Nothobranchius furzeri: one gene and its partner. The protein of the gene in region 1 purifies or fractionates together with the protein of each later gene. This does not show direct contact. Links are inferred from orthologs where the notes say so. Each region holds a gene or a part of one and is shown in the gene's direction. Other genes may lie near its edges.

Region 1 (3,818 bases):
ACACACACACACACACACACACACACACACACACACACACACAGAGTCTGCCAGTAGCTGTAGGAGTTTGGCCTCTGGAATAAATGATGGTTTAGTCTGCAGATCTACACTCGTATGATTGACGGAGATAATTTTACCATCTCTCATAAGTGAATAGATTTTTTTTCCAATACATTTTTATTTGTTCTCTGTTGCTGGAACCGAGTGATCCATGTCCTGGTAGATGATGAACCTGTTCCTATGACTCGTCCCTGTCCAGTTACGGTCTGAACTGGGGTCCTACGAGCTTCCTAACTCCTCCTCAGTGACTAAACATATTTCCTCTATTTACAGGACCCATATCTTCATTTCTTACACTTAACTGCTCCCAATATTCTGGTGTCCTCCGTGTCCCTCAGATTGTCCCTGTTCTCTTCCTGTAGTTATTCCGTGGTAGTTGAAAGGACAGATGAAACATTCAGGGGCATGGCTCTGCGTCCGTTTTCATGGCGTTCTCTGGCCGCTCTCAGCAGGATCACAGCAAACGTCTCCAAGGTAATGTCCTGCCAGGTTTGTGCCGTCATACATGGCCATTATTCTGACTCTACTGATGCTAATCTGTGTGTGTTCGTCAGGAGCTGATGTTGTGTTACGTCATATACCCCGCTGACCTATTGGAGGCAGAGCTGGACTCACCTGTGTGCCTGAGCAGGTTGAAGGTTCAGGTAGTAACCTGTCAGTGTGTCACATATCAGCACTAACTGCACACCCCCGTCCGTAAAAACAGCCACATACAGTCAGGTCCGTAGATATTGGGGCATCGACACAATGCTAACATCTTTGGCTCTATACACCACCACAATGGATATCAAATGAAACGAACAAGATGTGATTTAACTGCAGACTGTCAGCTTTTATTTGAGGGTATTTACATCCAAATCAGGTGAACGGTGTAGGAATTACAACAGTTTGCATATGTGCCTCCCACTTGTTAAGGATCCAAAAGTAATGGGACAGAATAAGAACCATAAATCAGACTTATACATTTCAATACTTGGTTGCAAATCCTTTGCAGTCAATTACAGCCTGAAGTCTGGAACACATAGACATCACCAGACGTTGGGTTTCATACCTGGTGATGTTCTGCCAGGCCTCTACTGCAACAGTCTTCAGTTCCTGCTTGTTCCTGGGGCATGTTCCCTTCAGTTTTGTCTTCAGCAAGTGAAATGCATGCTCAATCGGATTCAGGTCAGGTGACTGACTTGGCCATTGCAAAACAGTCCACTTCTTTCCCTTCAAAAACTCTTTGGTTGCTTTTTCAGTATGCTTTTGGTCATTGTCCATCTGCACTGTGAAGTGCCGTCCATTGAGTTCTGAGGCATTTGGCTGAATATGAGCAGATAATATTGCCCCAAACACTTCAGAATTCATTGTGATGCTTTTGTCAGCAGTCACATCATCAATAAAAACAAGAGAACCAGTTCCACTGGCAGCCATACATGCCCACGCCATGACACTTCCAGCACCGTGCTTCACTGATGAGGTGGTATGCTTGAGATCATGAGAAGTTCTTTTCCATCTCCATACTCTTCTCTTCCCATCACTCTGGTACAAGTTGATCTTGGTCTCATCTGTCCGTAGGATGTTGTTCCAGAACTGTGAAGGGTTTTTTAGATGTTGTTTGGCAAACTCTAATCTGGCCTTCCTGTTTTTGGGGCTCACCAATGGTTTACATCTTGTGGTGAAGCCTCTGTATTCACACTGGTGGACTCTTCTCTTGATTGTTGACTTTGACACAGACACACCTACCTCCTGGAGAGTGTTCTTGATCTGACCAGCTGTTGTGAAGGGTGTTTTCTTCACCAGGGAAAGGATTCTTCGGTCATCCACCACAGCTGTTTTCCGTGGTCTTCCGGGTCTTTTGGTGTTGCTGAGCTCATTGGTGCGTTCCTTATTTTTGAGAATGTTCCAAACGGTTGTTTGGGCCATGCCTAATGTTTTTGCTATCTCTCTGATAGGTTTCTTTTGTTTGTTCAGTCTAATGATGGCTTGCTTCACTGATAGTGACAGCTCTTTGGATCTCATCTTGACAGTTGACAGCAACAGATTCCAAATGCAAATAGCACACTTGAAATGAACTCTGGACCTTTTATCTGCTCATTGTCATTGGGATAATGATGGAATAACACACGCCTAGCCATGGAACAGCTGAGAAGTCAATTGTCCCATTACATTTGGTCCCTTAACAAGTGGGAGGCACATACGCAAACTGCTGCAATTCCTACACCGTTCACCTGATTTGGATGTAAATATCCTCAAATAAAAGCTGATAGTCTGCAGTTAAAGCACATCTTGTTCGTTTCATTTGAAATCCATTGTGGTGGTGTATAGAGCCAAAAATGTTAGCATTGTGTCGATGTCCCAATTTCTATGGACCTGACTGTATTTGTAAGTTAGAAATCCTGAGCACAGTCCATTACCATGGTGAGTGCAGGCTCAACCCACTTGATTAGGGACTAGGATGTGAAACTTTGGTGATATCACGATACAGTGGAGATGATACGATGCATCACGATGTATTCAGTCATTCAGTCAGACATTATTAGCAATGTTTTTAGACTGAATTTGTTGTGGGAAAATTCAACAAACAGTCCAAACTGATAGGTAACATGTTAAGTATGAGGTATCTGAACCATAAAAGAGGGATTCACATTTCAGTGGTGGAAACAAAACCCAGTGCACACTTTTGCCAGTTAGCGGTCGGCGTTTGAATTGCATCAAAAGAAAAGAAAATACACAAATGCTTGCATGTAAATTCTTCCAAAAATTCACTACATGGCTTTTGATTATCGATATAATATCACAAGAAAAAATATTGCGATATATTGCCCTATCAATATTTTCTTACATCTCTATTAGGGACAGTTCACCGGGCTGCAGATGCTTGATGAAGCTGTGGGAGTTTGGAGCTTTTATTTCTCTTCTGTCTGTCAACATGTTTCAGTCTGCAGAACCTTCCAGAACACAGAGACTGATTCTGACTTTAACCTGAAAGACGAGCGTCAACTAAATACACACCTATCTTACAGTCTGCTGGAGGGGTCATTACAACGTTTCAATTCAGTGCAGTTCAGTTTATTTCTTTAGCGCCAAATCAGGACCAGAGTCGTCTCAAGGACCTTTACACAGTAAACACTCCAATACAGGTCAGGCCATTAAGCCAATCAGTAAAAGGTTTCCTATAGAAGGAACCCAGCAGGTTGCATCGAGTCACTGACTAGCGTCAAGAGTCTTTACAGCAATCCTCATACTAAGCAAGCATGCAGCGACAGTCTCGTCGTCTCGTCTTCCTCCGCTTATCCGGGTCCGGGTCGCGGGGGCAGCATCCCAACTAGGGAGCTCCAGGCCGTCCTCTCCCCGGCCTTGTCCACCAGCTCCTCCGGCAGGACCCCAAGGCGTTCCCGGACCAGATTGGAGATGTAACTTCTCCAACGTGTCCTGGGTCGACCCGGGGGCCTTCTGCCGGCAGGACATGCCCGAAACACCTCCCCAGGGAGGCGTCCAGGAGGCATCCTGACCAGATGCCCAAACCACCTCAACTGGCTCCTTTCGATCCGGAGGAGCAGCGGTTCTACTCCGAGTCCCTCCCGAATGTCCGAGCTCCTCACCCTATCTCTAAGGCTGAGCCCGGCCACCCTACGGAGGAAACTCATTTCGGCCGCTTGTATCCACGATCTCGTTCTTTCGGTCATTACCCAAAGCTCATGACCATAGGTGAGGATTGGGACGTAGATCGACCAGTAAATCGAGAGCCTGGCTTTCTGGCTCAGCTCCCTCTT
Region 2 (4,290 bases), on another chromosome or scaffold:
ACTGTCTCCGCCCCCGTCAGCAGCAGCCAATCAGAAGAGACCAACGGGGATCCAGAAACCGACAAGAAGATCAAGAACCTAAAGAAGGTAAAGAGCATGTCGGAGTCTTCGTGTCTGTACGACAGGCCGCTGTAACCAAACACAGCAGTCGTGGCCAATCCTGGTCCTTCAGGGCCACCGTCCCTGGAGGTGATTGGAGGATGTTGGTGGTGTTCTGCGTTGTGATTGGCCAGAGAGTCAGTTATGCATCCGTGTGTTCCAGAAACTGAAGGCCATCGATGAGCTGAAGGAGCAACAGGCGTCTGGGAAAGTTCTGCAGAAGAACCAGGTCTGGAAGGTTCTGCAAAAGCAGTGTAGCTGCCTTTAGAACCACGCCCTCCTGTAACCGTAGATAATGCGTTACCCTGTTGAACCAGAATCTGAACCTTGTGTTTCCTGCAGCTGGAGAAGATCCAGAAGGAGGAGCAGCTCCTGGAGGAGCTGCGGGATCTGCAGGTGGGACAGTAGAAGAAGCCACTCAGTCCTTCAGCCACGCCCTCGTCCCATCATGCATCCCTCTTGTACAGCGACCCAGTGAGGAGTGGCGATGTGCTTGGGAGGGTCTGACTGAGCTGACCCAAAGGTCTGGTGGCTCTTCATCAGGGCAGCGGTTTCTAAGGGGCGGGGCTAATCGCTAAGGTGAACTGATTAGACCTGCTTTCGTTCCTACCTGTGGCAGCACCGCCCAGAGGCATTCTGGGAAGTGTAGGCAACAGGAAGTGCAGTGGTTTACAAATCTAAAGACTTTTGTTTTGACAGTGTTCCTTTCATAATAAAAGCCTGACCCTGCTTATTAGCGTCTGTTTGTTTGTTTGTTTTTTTGTCTAAAAAAATACTGAGCGATAGATTCTCTTTTGGACCAGGTCCAGTTCTGTTCTGCTGCAGCACCAGAACACATTTGTCCTCAGATCCTCATGCGTTAGGGTGTACGAGTGAGTGCTGAGTCAAACTGGTTATAATTAAACAACTAGTTTAGATCCGGTGGTTTATTGTTACTGCCTTGAATCGTGTCACCTTATATCTGTGGTGCTTTTATTCATCCAGTCAGTGATGACCCAAATGGCTGAACCTGTCATATAAACTTCACGAAGAACAATAAAACCACATTAATGGTCGTAGTTAGAACAGGCCATAGAAGGTCAGCAACCAAACCTGCTTCAGGGCCCAGGAAGCAGCAAAGCCAGGTTTCCTTTGGGAAAATGATTTTTTACCAACAATTCCTCTACTTGTATGTTGACCTCATGGAACAGGAGTGAGTACAGCTATAGTAGAAACTGGTATTAGTTGGATGGTGATAGGATTTTGTGTCCTTCAAACAAATATAATCAAGGTTGTACTAAAAATACCAGCTGGTTTTTATTAAATCGCATGTCTGCCTAACCTACAGATGGATCTATAGTAGTAGTGAGTTTATTAGAGGTGTTATTAATGCTTATTTAGTAAATATGAATGCCATGACTATTATGTTTTGCTAAAGCAGTTAGGCAGATCTGAACTATCTGAAATAACATTCCAGTTTCCTGACAGTGGATCAGCTGGGAGGAACGTGTGCCTGTGCTGTTAACTTACGCGTTCAATAAAGTTGTAACAAAAGCGAAGCGGTTTACGGCAGGTCGTAAAGCCAAACGCGGAGGAGGCACTTGCTGGTAAGGTAGTTGGTAAAAGGTTGCTCTCCAGTTCGTTCAGGTTCGGTTTCTGAGCAGAACCAGACCAGGACTCGGATTGTCTGAGAGCAGGGTCAGACTGTACCGGTTAGAAAATCCGCAAAGTCTGCGCATGCGTGAGACAGAAAGCCTCGGGTCCATCAGACCGAACCAAAGTGCTAGTTAGTTTGTGTCAACAAACCCTAACTAGTCCTAACCCTAACCTTAATCAGTGGGATTACATAGTAAACTAGCTGCAGGTCAGAGGTCTTGGTCACCCGGGCTCTTATTTACAACAAATACTAACAAACTCAGGATGTTATTATTATTATTATTATTATTATTGGTACCAGATTGTGAATGGAGTCATATTACTCTCTCTCTAGTTACCATGGTGAAATAATTGGTAAATTGCCTCCACTCCTTACCGACAGTAAAGAGGAATCGTTGTGATATCTAGTGATAATGTGCCACCGTACCCTGTATTAATGCTAACTGCAGCACAATGAGGCAGACTTTAGACACTTTTTACTGTTCCTGTGAAATCTCAGTTTTTAGTGCAGATTCATATTTCCTCCTTGAAGCAGCAGCTGATGACGTCACTCACTCTGACCTTAATCTTAATTCTAATAATCGCTGTAAACGTTTGTTCAACCTACAGAAAATTAAAGGCACAATTCAAGTAAAGTGATAAATGGCCTTTATTTATATAGCTCCTTCTGGGGTCCTACAGCCCCCCAAGGTGCTTTACAACATGCCTGTTTACCTGCACATTCACACACTGGTGGTGATGAGCTACATTGTAGCCGCAGCCGGTGTTCTGGGAACTTCTCCTACCCCGTAAACCGTCCTACCTGTTGTTCCTGAGCAACACAAAAAGGAAATGCTACTCCTTTGTCATATTTGCAGGAAAATAGATCAGTAGTAAGTATTAGTACTTTTTATTGACGTTGATACTTGATTTTTTGGGTTAGGGTTAGTGTCATGTAAAACACCGTAAAATTAGCCTATGGGTAGGATGTTTTCTCAGAACACCTTCCTGTGGTGCACTGACGGAGGCCAGCTTGCCGTACATGGGTGCCGTCAGTTCCTCTAACCACCATGAGCGGGGTGGGGGGTGGGGGGGTGTCTTCCCTAGGTACAAAGTTTTTCCGGAACGGCGCTGCTCTGGGTGGCTGCATGTTGGAGTAGCTCTGTTGACTATATGTAAGTTTTGCCTTTTCTTGGGTATTTTTTCTTCTAGTTTCTCAAGAAAAACTGTATTTTTTTGGACACTTTACTTTTCTGTTTCTGGTGCTGTGAAGCTTGGAGGATTTTTACTGCTATTTTTTTAGCTTTTTTCACTTTTTGAGCATTTGTTATGATGCGTAACCACGGCAACAAGCTGGTTTACAATCGGGAGCAGCTGATTAACATGTGAAAGGCTGAAATAATACCTCAGCTGAAGCCAAAAATCCCAAATGAGCTAAAACGCAAGAAGCGTGGATGCAGAGCGGGAGCAAAACGGAGACAGAGAAAGAGGAAATTCAAACCATCTCTTCCATCGATCATAATGGGCAATGTGAGATCACTGGCCAACAAGATGGAGGAACTCCAAGCCCTTTCAAGGACTCAGCCAGAGTTTCGTCAGTTTCGGAACTGCTGGAGGAGATAATGCAAAGAAGGATTCTCCAGAGAATCAAGAAAATGATGGACAACCCTGAGCATTCTCTTCACAAGACTGTCCGACAACGGAAGAGTCTTCAGTCAGAGGCTTCTTCAGTTTGGCTGCAACACTGACCGCTACTGGAGATCCTTCCTGCCAACAGCCGTTGTAATATACAACAACTCTTTGATGACTTGATTATTATTATTATTCTGAGCTACTACAGCAATCAATTTCCCTCTGGGATTAATAAAGTATTTTTGAATTGAAAACGACTGCAATAAACTGAGCGGGAGGCGAACCTGCAACCCTCCAGTTATGGGCATGCCTTTAGCTCCTCACTACCGTTGTTCCAAGTGTCTCATACTAGTGAAATTATGTGGGATAATCCTGGCCTACTCCTAGTTTATTGGTGATTATGTGTTGTTTAAAGAAATCAGATAGTTTACGTGGCTTCGTTCTGATTGGCAGATCCTGCTGATGGAGGACCAGAACCAGGAGAGCTCCGACCCTGTAGTGGCTCTCAGTCTTTGTGACTCCACCCCACTCCTGTGGCGTGCTCAGGACCTGAGGACCGTCAGGTCTCAGAGTGTGGTGGGGGCCCTGCTCGGCTCACTGCCCAGAGCCCCCAGACAGAACCTCAAACTGGGTCGACCACTGCTGCTGCTGCCAGAGGAGGAGAGACTGCTGAGGGAGCGCCACGCTGCGGCCTTTCCTCCACGGAACCAGGTCTGAATGAATGACTTTACTGTCGCTGTGAGATAACGAGTGCCTCTCCCTGTGAGGCACAATCCCAAGAAACATCACACACTACCAACGGTAACAGAAAATACCGGGCAGACTCAAGAAAGCGTCATAATTCAGTCAAATGTCACGAAGGAGGGTGTAAGAATGTTTACACCCCTGTGACATCATACGTAATTTAGACTTTAAATGTTTGTTGCAGAGCCGTAAACTGGTACT

Evidence for each region.
Region 2: the proteins of tsen2 (region 1) and tsen34 purify together in Homo sapiens (affinity purification with mass spectrometry; 3 studies listed by BioGRID and IntAct, counting the BioPlex papers as one, with this or other methods). This does not show direct contact. The link is inferred for Nothobranchius furzeri from reciprocal best matches to the Homo sapiens genes TSEN2 and TSEN34.

What each region holds. Positions count from the first base shown.
Region 1 is NC_091743.1:77,143,319-77,147,136, forward strand, and holds part of tsen2 (tRNA-splicing endonuclease subunit Sen2), read left to right. Parts: intron 1-422; coding exon 423-534; intron 535-614; coding exon 615-704; intron 705-3,818.
Region 2 is NC_091753.1:55,691,919-55,696,208, reverse strand, and holds the start of tsen34 (tRNA-splicing endonuclease subunit Sen34), read left to right. Parts: upstream 1-1,399; 5' UTR 1,400-1,685; intron 1,686-2,805; exon of another isoform or gene 2,806-2,888; intron 2,889-3,798; 5' UTR 3,799-3,807; coding exon 3,808-4,056; intron 4,057-4,290. Other genes in the region: eif2a (eukaryotic translation initiation factor 2A), read left to right, coding at 1-87, 263-328, 442-507. UniProt on the Homo sapiens protein: Constitutes one of the two catalytic subunit of the tRNA-splicing endonuclease complex, a complex responsible for identification and cleavage of the splice sites in pre-tRNA. It cleaves pre-tRNA at the 5'- and 3'-splice sites to release the intron.